Linked DNA regions of Oryctolagus cuniculus. The protein of the gene in region 1 interacts with the protein of each later gene in a pairwise test. Links are inferred from orthologs where the notes say so. Each region holds a gene or a part of one and is shown in the gene's direction. Other genes may lie near its edges.

Region 1 (10,540 bases):
AATTTCAAAAATAGCGGTTTGAAAAGTTACCGTAAGATATTACAAATGGTTTCCAAAGGGAAAATTATGAAATTCAGAAGTTGCAAGAGTAAATGTGTAGACACTAGGCATGCTAGGTAAGCTCAATAATAAATTTTCTTATGTTGGAAAAGCAGCATCTAAGAGCACTAGGATCACAATCTAGTCTCCTATTTACTATATAGAACCTAACTGGTTTTCTTATTCACTTAGCCATAAGTAGATTAAAAACTTTAATGTACTTTTTAATATGGCATTTAAAATATATCTACTAAAATAATAGTGCACTAAAAGTATCATGGATTTGTACTTTATGTTCATAAAAGGGAATTTAGATTGGTCAGTTTGAAACTGAAAAGTACAGTGACTGGAAAGAGGACAGTTACTTCTTCAGCGATGTTTTACGTATTCACTCCCTGACAGGATATTCAATATATTTAATAACTGCTCAAAAACAGGCACTAATCAACCAGAACACATAATCGCTGCTGTTGCCACTAGTGCCCAGGCTCTTGTCAAAATACCTGGATGAAGTTTCATGTATATGGCTAATTTGATACCTAGGCGCTTCTCAAGAGATAGATAATTGAGAAAGAGATCTTATAACTCGGAAAAGTGCATTCGCAGTACTCCAGAAGTCAGGCAGTTTAACTAGTAGGCTTTCTGCTAAAACAAGCATTTGTGGTTTAGCAAGTGAAATCGCATCTCTTGCCCCTGAAAACTGCTCAGTTTGGCTTGTCATCATTTGCCCAGGCTGTTTAATTACCATGGATGTCCAGTCTTGGAAAAGGTTGACTCCTGATTCCAGCTTCCAACTGATCAGACCCTGGGAAGCTGCAGGGATGGCTCAATTAATTGAGTTCCTGCCACCTGCATGGGACATCTGGACTGAGTTGCCAGCTCCCAGCTTCAGACTAGACCAGCCCCCTGGACACTGCAGGCACTTGAGGAGTAAAACAGTGGTTGAGAGCTCTTTCTCTCCCTCTCTCACACTTTCTCCCTGTTTCTCTGTCTCTCAAATTTTTAAAGCAACGATTTTCATACAATCTGTTGATATTCAAAAATAATATATTCTGAAATTTTGGTATCTTCCTTAATCCCAGCTATTCCCATCAAATGAATATTTAAACAAAGGTATATTATAAACCACCTAGTGCCAGATCTTATTTTGGGCATATTTCCTGAGTAAGTGGCATAGAAAATCTCCATTAAGCAGTGTTCTGACTTTAGAAACCCAGGAGCCCTTCCAAAAATGATTTAAATTGTTTCCTTCGAGTAGCATTAGTAACTAGGAAAATGATATGTCAGAAAGAAGCATGCGGTTCTTGTCATGAGAATATATTAATCTTGACAGTATGATTAACCAAGACAACATTGCTTGACAAATGTCAACATCAAGAACTTTGAGTGAGTCATTATCTAAAAGTAAAGACTGAATTGCACAAATTATAGCTAACGTATTTGAAGAACATTCTTTTGTATCATGTTCTTATCAAGAAGTTTTTGTTTTTTAAAGATTTATTTGAAAAGCAGAATTACAAAGAGAGAGGGAGAGATCTTCCATCTTCCGGTTCACTCCCCAAATGGGCACATGGCTGGGGCTGAGCCAAACCAAAGCCAGGAGCCTGGAACTCCATCTGGATTTCCCACGTGGGTGCAGGCACTTGGGCCATCATCCTCCACTGCTTTCCCAGGCACACTAGCAGGGAGCTGGATTGGAAGTAGAGTAGCTGGGACTCAAACTGGTGCCAATATGGAATGCTGGCATTCCAGGTGGTGGCTTAACCTGCTATGCCACAACACCAGCCCCAAGAAGTTTTCAAGTGATACCCATAGTTAGTATTAGGGAATGCCTCTGTTGCAGGTACCTGGCCTTTTATAAGATTAAGAAACAGCTGTCCTGGGGCCAGCACTGTGGCATAGCGGGTTAAGGCTCCAGCCTGCAGTGCCGGCACCCCATATGGATGCCAGTTCGAGTCTAGCTGCTCCTCTTCTGATCCAGTTTTCTGCTATGGCCTGGGAAAGCAATAGAGGATGGGCCAAGTCCTTGGGGCCCTGCACCTGGGTGGGAGACCTGAAAGAAGCTCCTGGCTCCTGGCTTTGGATCAGCTCAGTTCTGGCCATTATGGTCATTTGAGGAGTGAAGCAGCGGAATGGAAGACCCACCACCCCCCACCCCGCCGCCTCTCCTTCTCTCTCTGTGTAACTCTGACTTTCAAAAGAAAGAAAGAGAGAGAGAGAGAGAGAAAGGAAGAAAGGAAGAAAGAAACAGCTGTCCTCACAAAAACTTGGAGCATTTCTTTGTTATATATAGAGTTAAATCATTATTTGGAATTCTGAACTCTCATCACTAAGTAATGGGTAACTTTACTAAGAATAATAATTCAGATGAATCCAGGGTTTTCTGAGAGCATTTAGTACATAAAACTCTTCTCATCACTCATCAGCACAGATGCCTACATTGTCTAATGTATATCCAACATTTCTTAAAATGCATCTGTGTATTAATGGTAAATAAAATGAGAGATTGTATTAGTTAAGTGTAAAATAGGCATGTGTTCATCTGCCTATTACTATTATTTTTAAATATTTATTTGACAGAGTGACACAGAGATCTTCCATCTGTTGGTTCATTCCCCAAATGGCCCCAGGGAAGCCAGAAGCCCAGAACTCCATCCAGATTCTCCCCTGTTGGGTGGGTGGCAGGGACCCAAGCACTTGGGCCATCATCCATTGACTTCCCAGGCACAATAGCAGGAAACTAAATGGGAAGCAGACCAGCAAATACTCAAGCTGGCACTCACATGTGGGATGCCAGTGTCATAAGCTGTGGCTAGCTGTGCCATACTGCCAGCCTCCCACCTGATTATTTTTAAGTTAACTTATTCATTCCTAAAACATTCAAATAATGAAATTAATAAATTAATATTTCTTATTACTGAGGCATAATAAAGGATTTGTGATTTTTTTCCCACCCAACTAGCATAAAAACAAAGTTTTCCATTGAATTTATTAGCAGATAGAATTAGAATCTGCTGTTCCTGAACTCCTAAGTGGTTGCCTAGAAGTAGAATAATTATTTACTTATTTTTAAGACTTACTTATTTGAAAGGCAGAGTCACAGAGAGGCAGAGGCAGAGAGAGAGAGAGAGAGAGGTCTTTCATCTGCTGGGTCACTTCCCAAATGGCCGCAACACCTAGAGCTGGGCCAATATGAAGCCAGGAGCCAGGAGCTTCTTCAGGGTCTCTTGTAAGGGTTCAGGGACCCAAACACTTGCTTTCCCAGGCCATAGCGAAGAGCTGGATCAGAAAAGGAGCTGCTGGGACTCAAACTAGCACCCACATGGGATGCCAACACTGCAGGTGGCAGATTGACCCGCTATACCACAGCACCAGCCCCCCAGCTAATTACTTTATAAAATAGTTTTGCTTTCCACATTTGGATTGTCCTTTACCTAGCAGCAAATGTTCACGTTAAGAACTCTGTGGAGTTTTTCTGGTCCTCTGTCACACTACATACTTTATAGGAGAACCAATGCCAACTTACTACTGAAGTTGCTTTCAAAAAATATTTTAAAATGGATATTTGTTTTCTTTTCTGATTACAGAAAGTGTACCAACAGAGTGTTCATCTACAACCCCAAAAAAGGCGACTGGAAAGACCTGGCTCCGATGAAAACCCCGCGTTCCATGTTTGGAGTGGCGGTCCACAAAGGCAAGATCGTGGTCGCAGGGGGTGTCACTGAGGATGGTCTTTCAGCTGCAGTGGAAGCTTTTGACCTCACAACCAATAAGTGAGTTGCTGAATCTCACAGTCACTGTGCATTTCAGTTGTTACCTGATAAAAATTAAGCTTTCAGTTAGCATGTGGCAGGGCTAGGGGCAGGGAGTCATCAATTTAAGGGGAGTATTTTCATGAGGGTTTCTTCTGTGGCAACTGAGAGTAAAACTCCTAACATTTGGATGCACCGAGTGTGACCCTCAAGTTGATGCTGGCATGCCTTGCTCGTCCTTACTTGTGTTAACTGTGTGAATGGAGTCATGCTAAGGTAACACTTCTGAATAACTGTGTTCATGTAGATGGATATACATGTCTCTGTGGAGTTATTCAATTGGAAATATGTAGTTTCATTAAAGATGAGAATATCTTATTAATGACTGATATTAAGTATGAATGCTTCAGAAGTTTGGTTTCTTTATGTTTTTTAGATGTTTTTTAAAGCTTGTTTTTTAAGCTTTTAGCAACACTATGAAAAATACTTGGTATTCTTATATAAAATTAATTTTTTCAGAATCTTTGTGCCCACACATCTAGATGAGTATATACTTTCATAGTTTAGCAATAAGTTAAAAATCAGAGTACTGTTACTAGTTTTTTTAGAAACTATGTATGTCTGACTACAAAATAATAACTGAAAGTCACAAGCAACTTTTATGTAATAGAACCTAAAAGAGCACTAAAACATATTTTAAGACTGTATATTAGTTAAGCACTCATAATATAAAAAGTTAAAGAAGCAGCACAAAATTGTAAATCCTCTGTTCCTAGAGTTCTTCATATGTTTGGATACCTATATCCTTTTTTTTTTAATAAAAAGACAAGCTATACCAAAATGTTACTTATGATTATATCTGGAAACTATGATAATGAGGGTATTTGTTTTCTTCTATAACTTTCTGTACTTCCTAGATTTTTATAGTGTATATGTATTATTTTTATGGTTAATAAAAATAGGTTTAAAGAAAAACTATGAGGTTTTTAGTTCTTTAGAACTATAGTTCTGGGGTAATGCAGTGGAGAGCTACCACATGACTAACTCATTCCCAGTTCTTGAAACTTCCAGCCAATGTGGTTGATTTTATCTTCAGTTGTCCTATTTCAGATGGCTGTTAACATTAAAAAGTTCTCCTAAAACCTTTATATTGTAAAGTACAAGTCATTAAAAGTAAATTTACCATCTCCATCCGTAGCTTCAAAACTATCTTTATCATATACCTTTATTGCAAAGGATTGGAGAGTTCTTGAGAAAAGCTTGAAATTAAGAGTTTTTAAATGTTTGTATTAGTATTCAAATGTGGGCCACAGAACCCCACTGTTTATGACAAATAGTTTGGCAACCACTGCTGAAGGTGCTAAATCATGAAATATTCTAAGTGTGATCTATTGAAAGCTTTCTATTTAATATGATTATTACATCTTTCAAATTTAAGGAATTTTAAAATATTTTCTAGTTGTAAACTTCTACTTTTAGATGCTTATGCTACTTGAATTTTTAAAGTATTTCCTGTTCAGTAAATACATTTAATATGTTAAGTTTTACATTCACTATATTTTCAATAATACCCAGATGGGAAGTAATGACTGAATTTCCCCAAGAAAGAAGCTCCATCAGTTTGGTCAGCCTGGCTGGATCTCTGTATGCCATCGGTGGTTTTGCTATGATTCAACTGGAATCTAAAGAGTTTGCACCCACTGAAGTCAATGACATATGGAAGTAAGTTCTCTTCACTCTCATTTTCAGAACCAGATATTAAATCAGATAAATGAAAATTGAGCAATAATTCTGTAGCAAATAATAAGCCAGACTTTTCCAATATGCAGGCTACTTCTTGGTTATAGACCAGACACTTCAAATATAATTGTACCTGCCACATACTTCATCAAGTACTGCTTACAATTAGCTGTGAGCTTGGGAAAGAACTTATGTGGACCTATTTCTTAGTCAGTAAAACGACAGTTGGCTCTATTCCAGCTCTATTCCAGCTCTCAATGGACAACACTCTAGATATCCAGTAGAGTGAAGGCAACTTACCTTTCTTTCCCTTTTTATTTTTTCTTAAAGATTGTATTTCATTTGTTTGAAAGAGAGTGGTAGAGACAGAAAGAGAGAGAGGTCTTCCATCGGCTGCTTCACTCCCCCAAAAGGCTGCAGCAGCTGGGCAGAGCCAGGAGCTTTTTCTGGGTCTCCCACGTGGGTGCAGGGGCCCAAGGACTTGGGCTGTCTTTCCTGCCCTCCTAGGTGCACCAGAAAGTGGAGCAGCTGGGACCCCAACTGAGGTCCATATGCAGGGCAGGGCTTTAACCCGCTGCACCACAGCGCCAGCCCCAGGTTGCTTATCTTTCCACCAGAGTAGTTTATTTCCTAAGAAAACAGAATTGTGGTCGGCCGGCGCCGCGGCTCACTAGGCTAATCCTCCGCCTTGCGGCACCAGCACACCGGGTTCTAGTCCCGGTCGGGGAGCCGGATTCTGTCCCGGTTGCCCCTCTTCCAGGCCAGCTCTCTGCTGTGCCCAGGGAGTGCAGTGGAGGATGGCCCAAGTGCTTGGGCCCTGCACCCCATGGGAGACCAGGAAAAGTACCTGGCTCCTGCCATCGGATCAGCGCGGTGCGCCGGCCGTGGCGGCCATTGGAGGGTGAACCAACGGCAAAGGAAGACCTTTCTCTCTCTCTCTCTCACTGTCCACTCTGCCTGTCAAAAAAAAAAAAAAAAAAAAAGCAGAATTGTGAAAAAACATTTAACCTCTTTTTAAAGATCTCCATGAAATCATTAATTCTATTTGGAATTTAATTTAAATAGTCTTTCAGTTGTTTGAAGATTTGGTTAACAAAAGCTTTTTTTTTCAATTTTTATTTAATAAATATAAATTTCCAAAGTACAGCTTCTGAATTATAGCTGCTTTTCCCCCCATAACCTCCCTCCTACCCGCAACCATCCCATCTCCCACTCCCTCTCCCATCCCATTCTTCATCAAGATTCATTTTCAATTATCTTTATATACAGAAGATCCACTTAGTATATACTAAGTAAAGATTTCAACAGACTGCACCCACAAAGATACACGAAGTAGAGAGTACTGTTTGAGTAGTAGTTTTACCATTAATTCGCATAGTACAACACATTAAGGACAGAAGTCCTTCATGGGGAGCAGGTGCATAGTGACTCCCGTTGTTGATTTAACAGTTGACACTCTTATTCATTTATTTATTTATTTGACAGAGTTAGAGAGAGAGAGAAATGTCTTCCTTTCATTGGTTCACTCCCCAAATGGCCACTATGGTCAGCGCTGTGCCTATCCGAAGCCAGGAGCCAGGTGCTTCTTCCTGGTCTCCCATGTGGGCACAGGAGCCCAAGCACTTGGGCCATCCTCCACTGCCCTCCTGGGCCACAGTAGAGAGCTGGACTGGAAGAGGAGCAACCGTGACTAGAACCTGGTGCCCATATGGGATGCCGGCGCCGGATTAACCAAGTGAGCCACGGCACCGGCCCCTGACACTCTTATTTATGATGTCAGTAATCACCCAAGGCTCTTGTCATGAGCTGCCAAGGCTATGGAAGCCTAACAAAAGCTTTTTAAATAGAAAAAAGTGAAAGTAGCAATCCATTTTACCTCCCATATAGGCAGTTCTCCCAAGTATGACCATTGCAATTTTTGCTTGGGCCTAAAAACAGGAATGTTTTAAGGGGATCGTGAGGCCTGTTTTAGTGTCTAATGCAATGAATGTTCTATAGAAACCAGAGTGTATCCAGGACATCTCAGGAGCTTGTGCTGTTGAGTCACATAGTCAGAGGCAGAGTGTTTGGTGGGTAGATGCTTGCTCAACATCAAGAGACCAAACATGCTTGCCCATTACCCCTTCTGCCTCAGCCCATGCCCTGTGCTTGCTTATCTGAGTTTACAGGAGGTAGATCCTAGGTATCTTAGGTGAACATTGCAAGGCTGGCAGCCTTTACCTGGTCTCTCATCAGATTGTCCAGAGCCTCACTACTTACAATGTCCTGTTGTCTGTAGAAGAGCAGTGTTGTCATCTGAGAGCTTCTCAGGAGTGCAGAATCCTAGCCCCACCAGAACCTGCATTTTAGCAAGATTCCCAAGTGATGTTGCATATTTAAGTTTATAGGTACAGCTTTGAAAGAGTACCCTTTATGCCTGACCAGTGAAGGCATACCACTAAGGCTGGAGTGAAACATGGATTTTTTTTTTTCCTATATCTGAACCAGCAGATGTCTTATCCTTAGCTACTAAAATGAAAGGCTGCCTGTCACTGCCTGTGACACCAGTATCCCCTGTGGGCTCTGGTTCCTGTCTTTTTTTTTTTTTTTTTGACAGGCAGAATGGACAGTGAGAGAGAGAGAGACAGAGAGAAAGGTCTTCCTTTTGCCATTGGTTCACCCTCCAATGGCCGCCGTGGCTGGCGTGCTGCAGCCGGCGCACCGTGCTGATCCAATGGCAGGAGCCAGGTACTTATCCTGGTTTCCCATGGGGTGCAGGGCCCAAGCACCTGGGCCATCCTCCACTGCACTCCCTGGCCACAGCAGAAAGCTGCTCCATTTCTGATCCAGCTCTCTGCTAATCTGCCTGCAAAAAGCAATGGAAGATGACCTAAGTATTTGGGCTCCTGCCACCCATGTGGGAGACCCGGATGAAGCTCCTGGCTCCTGGTTTAGGCCTGGGCCAGTGAACCAGCAGATAGAGGATCTCTCTCTCTCTCTCTCTGTCTCTCTGTCTCTAACTCTGACTTTCAAATTAATAAATAAATATTTTTAAAAGTTTATTTTTAAATTTTCATTTTATCTGAAAGGCAGAGAGAAAGAGACAGAAAGACAGACAGCTTCCATCAGCTTGTTAGTCTACATGCCTTTGATTTGGCCAGTTCGAAGCCAGGAGCCAGGAATTCAATCCAGATGTCCCACATGGGTGGATAGGACCCAAGAACTTGAGCCAGCCACCTGCTGCCTCCCAGCTAATCAATTAACAGGAAGCTGAATCAGAAGTGGAGGAGTAGCTGGCGCTGTGGCACAGTAGGTTAAGACCCCAGCCTGCAATGCCAGCATCCCATATAGGCACCAGTTCAAGTCCCGGCTGCTCCACTTCTGATCCAGTTCCCTGCTAATATGCCTGAGAAAGCAGCAGAGGATAGCCCAAGTCCTTTGGCCCCTGTACCCACGTGGGAGACCCATAAGAAGATCCTGGCTTTGAATTGGCTCAGCTCTGGCCATTGCAGCCATTTGGGGATTGAACCAGTGGATGGAAGACCTCTCTCTGTCTCTACTTCTCCATGTAACTCTGTTTTCTTCTTTAAAAAAGAAGAAGAAGAAGTGGAGGAGCCAGGACTTGAACCAGGCACTCCAATACAGGATGCTGGTGTCCTAAGTGGCAGCCTAGCCACTGTGCCAAGTGCCCACCCTGCTTAGGATGCTTAAAATGTATCAGTTCCTAGGCCTTAACACAGACCAATTACATCAGTTTCTGGAGGTAGGGCCTGAGCATCCCTAGTTACTAAAATCTTCACTGATGATTTTAATGTACAGCCAAGGTGGCGTATTAGTGATGTTAACGAATGATGCTGTCAATCAGCCGAGCCTCATTTGAGCCACCCTGGTTCCTAAAGGTAGACAAAAGCCACACAGCCCTGGCAGGAGGAAGCCGTGGGCAGCAGAGGAAAGTAGAGCATCTTCTGCTAGTTGCCCTTACATCTCTGAGAGGAAGCTTTCTGGTTGTTATCAGGACAGTAGTTCCCAAACTTGCCTGCACATTGCAGTCACAGGGAGCTTCAAAAAGTACCACCACCTCCGTCCCACCCTTACTGTGTTTTAATTGGTTCGGGATATGGTCAGGGTTTGGGAAGTTTTAGAAGATTCTCAGATGATTCCATGTGTGCAGACAAGTTTGGAAACCACTAGAGGAGCCAGTGCTGTGGCATAGCAGGTAAAGCAGCCACCTGCAGTGCTGGCATCCCATATGGGCTCCGGTTCGAGTCCCAGCTGCTCCACTTCCAATCCAGCTCTCTGCTATGGCCTAGGAAAGCAGTAGAAGATGGCCCAAGTCCTCATGCCCCTGCACCCTCGTGGGAGACCTGGAGGAAGCTCCTGGCTCCTGGCTTTGGATCAGCACAGCTCCAGCCATTGTGGGCATCTGGGGAGTGACCCAGTGGATGGAAGACCTCTCTCTCTCTCTCTCTCTCTCTGCCTGTCTTTCTCTCTCTGACTTTCAAACAAATAAAATAAAATCTTTAAAAAAAGAAACCACTAGAAAGGGAAGAGAGGGCATTTATCTGCTTGGCTATAAAGTTTGACATTTAGATACTGGTATTTTCTAATCTGGTATAATATCTGGAGCAATTGATTCTCACATTTTGCTGTGTATTAAGTCTCAGCTGGAAAGCTTTCAAAAATCCTCGTGCCCAGGCCACCCTCCAACCTGATTAAGTCAGTCTCTAGGGGTGGGGTCCGGGCATCAGAATTTTTTAAACATCGGATTTGAGAACCAGTGATGTGCCGCTGTGATTCCATATGCAACATCAGCATCACTTAGGTACTTGTTAGAAATATAAATTCTCAGACCTCACTTGAATTAGAAACTCTGGGTGTGGGGCCCAGCAACTGTTTTAACAAGCCTTCCAGGTGACCCGGATGTGCCCTAAAGTTGACAGCCACTGATCTAGAGAAAGGCGGCTACTCACTTGCCCTTGACTTCCTAGTGAACCTCTATATCCGTACACGCAAGGAAATGAAAGCTCAGT
Region 2 (9,424 bases), on another chromosome or scaffold:
AGCGAGCGACCGCCGCGGTCTGGGGCTGTCACTTTGTCATCTGTTGGTGATGTGTCTCCCCTGCTGTCTCCCTTCTCTGTGGCTGAATAAAGGAGAGCCCTCCACTGGGATCGCCGGAGGAGTCCTTTCATGGAGCCATTCCCTTATCTTGAAAAAAAAAATTAGCTACAGAAGATTTTGACGCCTCTCTCGGTGATGTGGGCCTACCTGAGGACTGAGAGGATATGATTACAGACTCCCAGAGGGTGTGTGGGAACAACTTGAAAAGGGGGAAAAATGAAAGAGGAAGATATGAAACACATGGGTCAGGTACTCGGTCAGGTGCTTGACAATAAATGTAATTCAGGCGAAGGCTCTTCCCTTCGTGCAGGCACCAGGGGTGTATGTGAGATGCAGCAGGCCTCAGAGTGACGATGTGGGACATGGCATCAAAGCCAGGCCAAGGGGCCCCCAGGAAGTCAGTGGAGCTAACAAATGCATGGCTGTCAAGACCTAAGGAACAGCACGTTCAGCACAGAGGAAGAAACTGGGTTCTGAAACTTTGAGTCTGGCGTCTAGAAGCTGCAAACCCGAGGCTCCAACCGTGAGCGCCAAGACAGGAAGGAGTGGGTCAGGGACCTCCGAGACCCACAGAGTGCGGCAAATGAGCCAGACCCCCCAGACCGCATGCCTCTAAAGAGAGGAAGCCCTGCTTGGCCAGTCCCAGCAGTCTCAGAGCTGGGAGGCCCCCGGATAGACGTGGGGCCGTGGGCTCCATCATCCCGGGGCCTAACAAGGCCAAGAGGACTATTTAGGAACCAGCAATGTGCAAGCAGTGGAGGTGCTCCGTGCTCACTCCGGTTCTGTTTTCCCCTTCCAGAAAGCCTACAGAAACTCTTGGGAGCAGATCCGGGCCAGTGGCTATGACTTCAGGCTGGATGCCATCCCGTTCCAGACTGCCCGGGCATCCAGGGAGATTGCCAGCGACGTAAGACCTTGCCCCCCGCCCCCCATCACTGATAGGATTCACTGGGGGTTTCCCAGATCTGTGGAGAGGCAAACCACCAGGGCCTATCAAAATTATCTCTCCCTCCACTCCAGAACTGAATGTGTATTTCAAAGGAAAGAAAAAATAAGGCTTATTTTCTAGGATCTTTGCCAGCAATTTGGGGTTGGGGAGAGTTGTATCCCTACTCCCTCTGTCTTCACAGAGGTCCTCTTAAAGTGATGTGGAGCACCTGGAACCAGGGCAATGAACCAGGTCAATGATTGGTTTGCCAGGATGCAGTAAATGGGCTTCCTTTAGCTGAACTGCAGTGGGATGATGTAGAAAGATATTGGGCTTTCCCCCTAGTTTGACTTGAGTTCTAGCTTGGCCACTTAGGAATTAGCTGTTTGTCTTGGGGAAGTTGTTTACATTCTCTGAGCTCAGATTTCTATATCTATGAAATAGAGATTGAGTATTTGTGGTCTAGGGTTGATGGAGGAATGGGAACAAATGGTTTACAGGGTCTGGCTCATGGCAGGTGTTTAGAAGAGGCAGCCATTATTGCTGAAGAAGGGGGTGTCACCTACTGGGCAAATGCTCTTCACACCTTCCCACGCTCACCCATGAATGGTTCCTGGCTGGCCCATGGGGAGATGAGTACAGAAACAGAGCCTGCATTCAGAAAGGCGTTTAGTCTTTGGACATTGAGATATTCAAGTATGTGATCATTTTGTTGAATAAGATAAAGGCCAGTTTGGGGTGTTACCAAACACACATAGTAGGACCACATATTGCTCTTTGATAGGTTGGAAATTTAAAAATCCAAACACAAGTTCTTTACTACAGATGATTTGAAGAGCACTGGTCTAGGTCCCAAACAAGATCGGACTTGAACCTGACCAGAGGTTAAAAGCTGGAAAGGATCAGAGGAAGAACGGGCACACTTCTCTTCCTTTGGAGTTTTAACTGCAGCAGCATCAACGCCAGTAGCTGCCACTCAGTGGGCGTGAGCCAGTGGCCAGCACGAAGCTCAGCCCCATCTCATTAAATCCTTTTAATATCCCATGGGGTCGAAATTCATTACCCCATCTTTAAGATGGGGAAACTGAGACTCAGAGAGACTCAATAACTGACCCACGTCACAACTTTGGTTCTACCCAGATCCAAAATGTGTGCCTCTAATCCACCATTGAGCTCCCTACTGTGTGTCCCATAGGACGACCCCCTCGGGGAGGGGAGGCTGGCCTGTGGAGGGGGGAAGACATGGGCCCTAGCGACCCCTCTCTGCTCCTCTGACCTTGCAGTTCCGGTACAAGGAGGCCTTCCTGCGGGACCGGGGCCTGCAGATTGGGTACCGCAGCATCAGTGATGACCCAAGGATGAAGCATTTCCTCACCGTGGGCAGACTTCAGAGTGACAATGAGTACAAGAAGGACTTTGTCCAGAGTCGGTCCCAGTTCCACAGCCGTGCAGACCAGCCAGGGTTTCTGCATGCCAAGAGGAGCCAGCAACTGGCCAGCGACGTGCAGTACAGACAGCCCCTGCCCCAGCCCACAAGTGACCCGGAGCAGCTGGGCCTGAAGCACGCACAGAAAGCCCACCGGCTGCAAAGTGATGTGAGCAGCCTTCGCCGGCCCCGCTGAGGCCTCTCCCCTCGTGCCTCTTCCTAGGACAAGGCCCTGTGCTCTGGGGAGTTGGGCCAAGATAGGACCCAAGGCCCTTAACACTACCGACCCAGAGGAATAGTAACAATCACCTCCATTTCTTGAATTTCTGCTGGGAAGTCAGGCTTTGTGCCAAGTGCTTCCCAAGCATCCTGTCCTGTAGCCTTCACAATAACCCCACTATGGCCCCATTTTACAGATCAGGAACCTGAGGCTCAGAGGGGTTAACTTAATATCCCCCAGCAAAGAAGTGGCAGACCTAGGATGTAAATGCCATTTGGTTTGCTGGGAGAGCCCCAGCTGTGCTGTGTTTCCAAGGGTCCTTAGTAGTTACCTAACCCAGCCCTGCACTTTCCGTGGGAAGAAACTGCATCCCACAAAAGAGAAGTGGTTCCCCTAAGGCCACGGAGTAAATCAAAGTAGGCGCTCAGAGTTGACCCAGCTGTTCCCCACCCCCAACCCTGCACCACTGAGCTCCCATCACTTGAAAGGGGCAGCGAAAGGCTGGCTCCACTTGTGGCACACTGGGCCCTTGGTGCCAGGGAGCTACTGCATGAGATGGATTTGTTCCCACTGCCCTAGCTTTACTAACAACAATATATTCCCCATCTTGTGGTGGCTTTTCTAACCCTGTCCACTCAGTGGTCAAACCACCCCAAACCCTGCTGACATATTCTTGCTTCTCTCCTTCCCCCAAGGTCAAGTATAAATCGGACTTGAATCTGACCAGAGGTGTTGGCTGGACTCCTCCTGGCTCCTACAAAGTGGAAATGGCTCGGCGGGCTGCAGAACTGGCCAACGCAAGGAGCCGGGGTCTCCAGGGGGCTTATGTGAGTGTGGCGAGACCCTGGGGGAAAGACAAACTCATTGTTTCTTTTCAAAGTTTATTTTTGGCCAAAGATCAGCCTCTCTAAAGAAGTGTAAAATGCAGCTGGAGCAAGGCGCCTAATTTCACGGGTCTGAGATGACCAGGCGGATGACACGTGGGTTAAACTTCCCGCAGGGTTTTCTCTGAAGTCCCAGCCATTAGTTCTGCAGAGGCAAACCTACTGGGGTGACATCAATCCCGGGCCAGGGCAGCCCAGGCTGTGCTGACTGCTGGCTTGCTGCATTTGTGGAAAGGGTCAGAGACTTGCTGGCTACAACAGTCTGCATTTCAAATGCTTTTATTTTTCCCAAAAAGACACCGCATCTAAATGAGATTGACTTTGCTTCTTTTTCATTCTTGCCTTGAGGATCCTTTTTCCTGGGAAGGATGGAGGAGGGGAGAGGGTGTGGAGACGAATGAGTCCCATGCTCCTGGGCTATCTTACCATCTCCTGTGGAAACAGGACGGGAGCTGCGTGGTAACTCCGGGCTGTGTGTTTGATTTCTGCAGGGAGGGCCAGAGGCCATGGAGTCTGGAGATGATCCCAGGGGGCAGGTGAACCCAGATGCCACTGAGATCCTGCACGTCAAAAGGAAGAAGGCTCTGCTGTTGTGAGCGAGTGGTGTCCACGCCAGTTCTTAAGAGAGAAGCCGGAAGAGCGAACTTGCATCTGAAGATCCAGACTTTAGATGGCCCCAAGTGGACGAGCTGGAACAATGGAGCACCTGCTTTCCCTGGTCCTGGGTTTATTAAAACAACTGTGAAAGCAACGGGGCTATGTCGTATTATTGCTCCTCTCTCTAGTACCTGGCTGGTCGGTCCAGGATGAGGAATAAAGAGGCCAGGGCGACTCCCCCCAAGGCTGGGCAGTCTGCAGTCCCTTGCTGGCAGGTGTCAGGTGGAGACAGCCTCTGAACGCTGATTTTCTAGGAAGAACAACTGTTGAAAGTGAAGCAAACCTAAGCTATCTCGTGTGGGTTCCATCATGCTTTGAGAGATCAGAAAGAGCCAGATGAAATGGTGCAAAGGCTGGGCCAGGAAGGCCCAGGCTGGGCAGTGGTTGTCTCTGCATAGAACATGAACACTCGCTGCGTGGAGGCCACGGGGTGCCTGTGGCTGCCCAGGAGCCCGTGTTGTCTGAGGTGCTTCAGAGGACGGCAGCTTAGACGGCAGCCTCCCTTTGGATGGTGGCTTTGATCCAACTCAGGAACCTGGTGACTTGGGTGTAGACCCCTGGTTTCTTCCCACATTCCAGGCCCCAGCTCACTATGCCGGAGATGTAGTAGGTGCCATTCTTCTCACAGGTCAGAGGACCTCCAGAGTCACCCTAGGGGAGGAAGGGGCGTGAGGTCAGCCTCGGGGCCACAGTACATTCAGACACCCCCACGACCGCAGAGAGGGTGCCGGGGCTGAGGGGGCGGTGTCGGCTGCCAGCTGTGGCGGGCTGCTCTGGAAAGCAGGCTCTCCCCAGGCTTCCGGTGCCGTGAAACTCACTCTCTAAGTGAGCAGTGTCCTTTGTCCCTGAGCCTGGGAGGCTTGGCACAGGAGCCAAGGGCTGTAGCCACCGTGCCATGGGCAAACTCTAATTCCTGACTCTTAGTCACAGGAGGGTTTTTTTTTTAAAATACTTACTTTGTTTCTTTGAAAGAGAGGGGAGGGACAGGGACAGGGAGAGGGACAGGGAGAGGGAGAGAAATAGGAGATTGTCCATCCTCTGGTTCACTCCCCAAATGGCCGCCATGGCCTGGGCTGGGCCATGCTGGAGCCAGGAGGCTGGAATGCCACCCCGGTTTCCCACATGGCTGGCAGGGGCCCAAGCACTTGAGCCGTCTTCCACTGCTTTCCCCTGAACGTTAGCAGGGAGCTGGATCGGAAGTGGAGCATGCACAACGCCCGCATTGCAGGCTGTGCTTACCCCGGCGCACCGCAGTGCTGGCTCCCTTCAGGGTGTCACTGCTGTGAGCTCTCAGGGGCTCTGGACTTGCTCCTTCTGGGGCCCTGTTTGGATACAGCCCTGGGCACACACAGGGGAGGAGGATGGGGACTCAGGGGGCACCCTGGTCAGGGCATTCACCGTGGTCCACGTGGTTAGATGTCCTGGGCTCTGAGCCAGGCTCTGGTGCCTGCCAGCCTTGGGCCTCAGGTTGTCACACTGCTAACTGTGTCCCAGGGCTGTCGTGAGGATTCTGAGAAGGACAATGAGGGTGTCAGCAGCTCTTAGGCTCCCAAACATCCACTACCACTTAAGCACCACCACTAACAGGTGTTTTTCAAATGAATTCCCTCTTGGCATCTTAGCCACAACCTTAGGATGATTTGATGGACATGTTAGCACCATTTTACAGATTAGGCATCTGAGATCAGAGAATTTGGTGACTGCTAAGGCCACACAATAGGGGACAGAACCAAGTTGCAAACCCATGGCTGTTACCAGAGCCGGCAGCAATTATTTCTTTTCTTGAACAATCTCTGACTCATCTCCCAGGGGCTTAGGGCAAGTAGCACCCATCTGCCTATGGTTCTCTGCATATGTGCATATCTGTGGTCCCTGGGAGAGGGAAGGGCTCACAGCAGAGACACAAACCCTGGAGCAGTCATTTCCATTTCCCAACCCAAAGTGAACTCAAGGTGGGCAAGTAATGTTTGGATCCCTTTGTAGAGAGACTCCATCAAGGATCTAGGACCCAAATGTGGCCCTGTTGGGTTTTCCAGGGTAGTTGGGTGGTTTGTGAGGACAATCAGCAGAAAATTGTAAATCGAGGTGTTTCTGGGCATCTGGGACGGACGTATGCTGTGTGATGACACCCTGGCAGAGGCAGGGACTCTGGGGAGTGCACTGGGACACCGCCTGAGGTCCCCTTGGCACCAGTGTGGAGCTGCCACCTCCTCCCTCCCCAGCAGCTTCTCACACACCGCAGGCCTCAGCAGCTTGGGGTTCCCAAAGTCGAGACTGGGAGGAGCGTCAGGCAGGCCCTAGGCTGGCTATGGCCGCAGAGCCACTTAGCGTGCTAAGGTGAAACCTGTATCTGTCTCTCTCGTTTAAATCCTCATGAGTAGTTAATATCATTGCAAAATCTCTAGGCCTCACATCTTTCTCCTTCCAGCCAATGGCCTTTAGGGCATTCGTTGGGCTATTTCAGACCTGCTGCCCAACACTGAGGCCAGCTGTGCCATCTTCACATTTAAATATCGTGGAGCACAGTAGCAAAGGCTGTGGCATCCTGCAGACCTGGGTTGTCCAAATTCTAGCCCTGCCACTTAGCATCCAGGCCAAGACAACCTCTGAAAACATCTGTAAAATGGGGCTAATGATGCCCTCCACACACACACCAGAGGGTTGGGGGAATTCGAGTGAACAATGCAGGCACCAGGACCACTGTGGTTACCAAGTTGAACCATCCATACTGATGTGGACTGCTACAGCCCTATCTCCGCCCAGGGCTCCCAACAGCCTCTGTGCCCGAGGACTGCCAGCCTCTCCTTCTCCAAGTACCATTAGGAGCCTCTGACCTGGCAGGTGTCTTGTCCAGGTTTCTGAAGGTTTCCTGCACAAATCATGCTGTCATCAATCATGTGGTCGTAGAGTCGACGCGAGTTGCACAAAGTGTTTGCAATCAGCTTGACTTTGGCATCCAGGAGCTGGCGGGACCCTTCCCCTGTGGGGCAAAGAGAAAAGTCACTATGGTGGGCACCAGAATCCAGCAGTACTAGAAGGCCACCAGCTCTCAGCTCAGGAAGCGTGGATTTTCCAGGAGCTGGGAAGCGTCGCCTTCTAAGGCTGATGGATCCTTTCCCTCAGGCGTCACCACGCCTATGCAGACCTGTAATGCTGCACTTATCACAGTGGGGCTGAACCATTCATTGCCTCCTCTGTAACCCCAAGCAGACTATGAGGCCTAGGAGGGTAGGGAAGGTGTGTTGACTATTTGTTAATTTCCTATGCAGACCAGAGAGGCTAGCATTTAGTAGACTCTTGGGGAGTGAGTGGATAGATGAATGGATGGATGGATGGATGGATGGAGTGCCCTGGTGTACTGCTATTGCTCCACAGGTAAAGAGTCAATCAAAACATGTCATTGACTTTGAACACACAGCCTTGGAGGGCTATTCAGAGAAACTAAAACATCCTAGCCTGAATGTCTTGTAAGAGCCCCATCTCAGACATGGCCATACTGTCCAATCCATATTGCACAGAATAGGGATCAGAAGGCTTAGGTGGACTACAATGAAGATAGCTTCAGAAAAGAGTTTCCTGGTCAATTCTAAAATCAGTTAGCAAGAAGTCTCCTTTCCCAAAAGCATCGGACAAATTTGTATATTACATTTCCCTTTCGTCATGAATACAGACCTGTTAAAAGTGATTCTTGCTTTTTCATTATCAAGGGCAAGATTTGGAAGGGAAGGGAAGTATATTTTTAATGTTTGGGAAAGACTTGAAATACTCTTTTGAATTTCTTTGCATTAGAGGGAGTGATCTTGTCAGTACTGTGAAGAAAGTAACCCTTTGGTTAATTTATTTTTGCCTTTAAAACTGTTTTTTTTTTTTAAGATAACTGTGGAGTCACATGCAGTTGTAAGAAAGAACAGAGTTCTCTTGCATCCTTTACTCAGTTTTCCCGATAGTAATAACTTATAAGACTACAATGTAATACAACCACCACTGACATCGAATTAGCCAGGATACAGAACATTCCATACCTCATGAATCCCTCATGTTTCCCGACCCTGTCCCCATCACCCTAATTTTGTTACTTTTTCAGGTAAGACTAAATCCCAGAGACAAATCAAGAACTTAATTTCACACAATTTTATAGAATGCCTACTTTTCTCAAAGAGTCTTAACAAAGAGTCTGAAAGAGAGAGAGATGAGTGAGATCTGACCCCCACCCTCTAGGGCCAACTCAGTGAACACCTCTATAGAATTCTGTCACCTCCTGTGGGTGTGATTCCAAATCAAGGCAGTACGTATGATGATTATGAAATTAAATCTCAGTTGTTCAAGCAATGCAGCCAATAACATAACTCAAGTCTATCTGACTCTAAAATCCAGGATCTTTGCAGTCTACTTCTTTCCAGTCTACCTGGGGAAGCAGAGAGGTCTCCACAGACATAGGTTCAACGCTTGGTAAAAGTCAGCTATGTGGGATGGTGCTGAGGACAGATATAGAGACTGGGGAGGGCTCCTTGTAGGTGGTGAGCCTGGACTAGAGCTTGAAGGGTCCAGCACAAGCTGACTTCTGATTAGGCACTGTGGATAACACACAGATTCCAAGTTCAGAAGGGCAGCTGGGTGTGGCCCTTTCGTCTCTGGTTGACGTAGCTCAGCCGAGCTTGGGGAGGATGCACGGCCAGACTCACCTGTTTCCGTAACACCCCAGCCTGAGATGTGGCACTCGGTCCCAGAGGGAAACGGCCCATCGGGCAGGCACACGGTCTTCACGTACTTGGATTCGAGAGCACAGTGACCGTCCACGGGCTTTAACTTGAGCAAAGCTGGGTGGGGAGAGAGGGGAGTGAATGAGTGTGACTCTACAGCTTCAATGTGCTTTGGAAGGCGGGCCTAGCAAAGCTCCACCACCCCTGCCTCCGTCATTTCATTTCTAAAACCCCGCCCTGGGGGGAACACTATGGTCTGAGTGTTTGTCCCTTCAAACAGAGGTTCTGAAACAGTGGAAACTTAAACCAGCTATGTTGTTCAGAGGCAGGGCCTTCGGGAAGTGACTGGATTAGGGGTTGGGGTGGGGCCCGATTGGATCCTGGAGGCTTTATGAAGGCACAGACAGAGGCAGAGAACTGCACTCCCTGTGTCTCGCCACATTTGTGCCACCTTGGGACTCAGCTCACAAGAACACCAGCGCTGGGGGCCAGCCCAGGGGGACCCACTCAACCCTGTGCTAGGAAACTCCAGAACTGTGAGCCATAATA

Evidence for each region.
Region 2: the proteins of KLHL41 (region 1) and NRAP interact in binary tests that used the Homo sapiens proteins (3 or more experiments, as listed by UniProt). The link is inferred for Oryctolagus cuniculus from reciprocal best matches to the Homo sapiens genes KLHL41 and NRAP.

What each region holds. Positions count from the first base shown.
Region 1 is NC_091434.1:71,562,470-71,573,009, reverse strand, and holds part of KLHL41 (kelch-like protein 41), read left to right. Parts: intron 1-3,626; coding exon 3,627-3,812; intron 3,813-5,366; coding exon 5,367-5,513; intron 5,514-10,540. UniProt on the Homo sapiens protein: Involved in skeletal muscle development and differentiation. Regulates proliferation and differentiation of myoblasts and plays a role in myofibril assembly by promoting lateral fusion of adjacent thin fibrils into mature, wide myofibrils.
Region 2 is NC_091446.1:16,679,720-16,689,143, forward strand, and holds the end of NRAP (nebulin-related-anchoring protein), read left to right. Parts: intron 1-859; coding exon 860-967; intron 968-2,271; coding exon 2,272-2,583; intron 2,584-3,329; coding exon 3,330-3,461; intron 3,462-4,009; coding exon 4,010-4,114; 3' UTR 4,115-4,269; downstream 4,270-9,424. Other genes in the region: HABP2 (hyaluronan-binding protein 2), read right to left, coding at 4,662-4,826, 7,010-7,155, 8,858-8,992. UniProt on the Homo sapiens protein: May be involved in anchoring the terminal actin filaments in the myofibril to the membrane and in transmitting tension from the myofibrils to the extracellular matrix.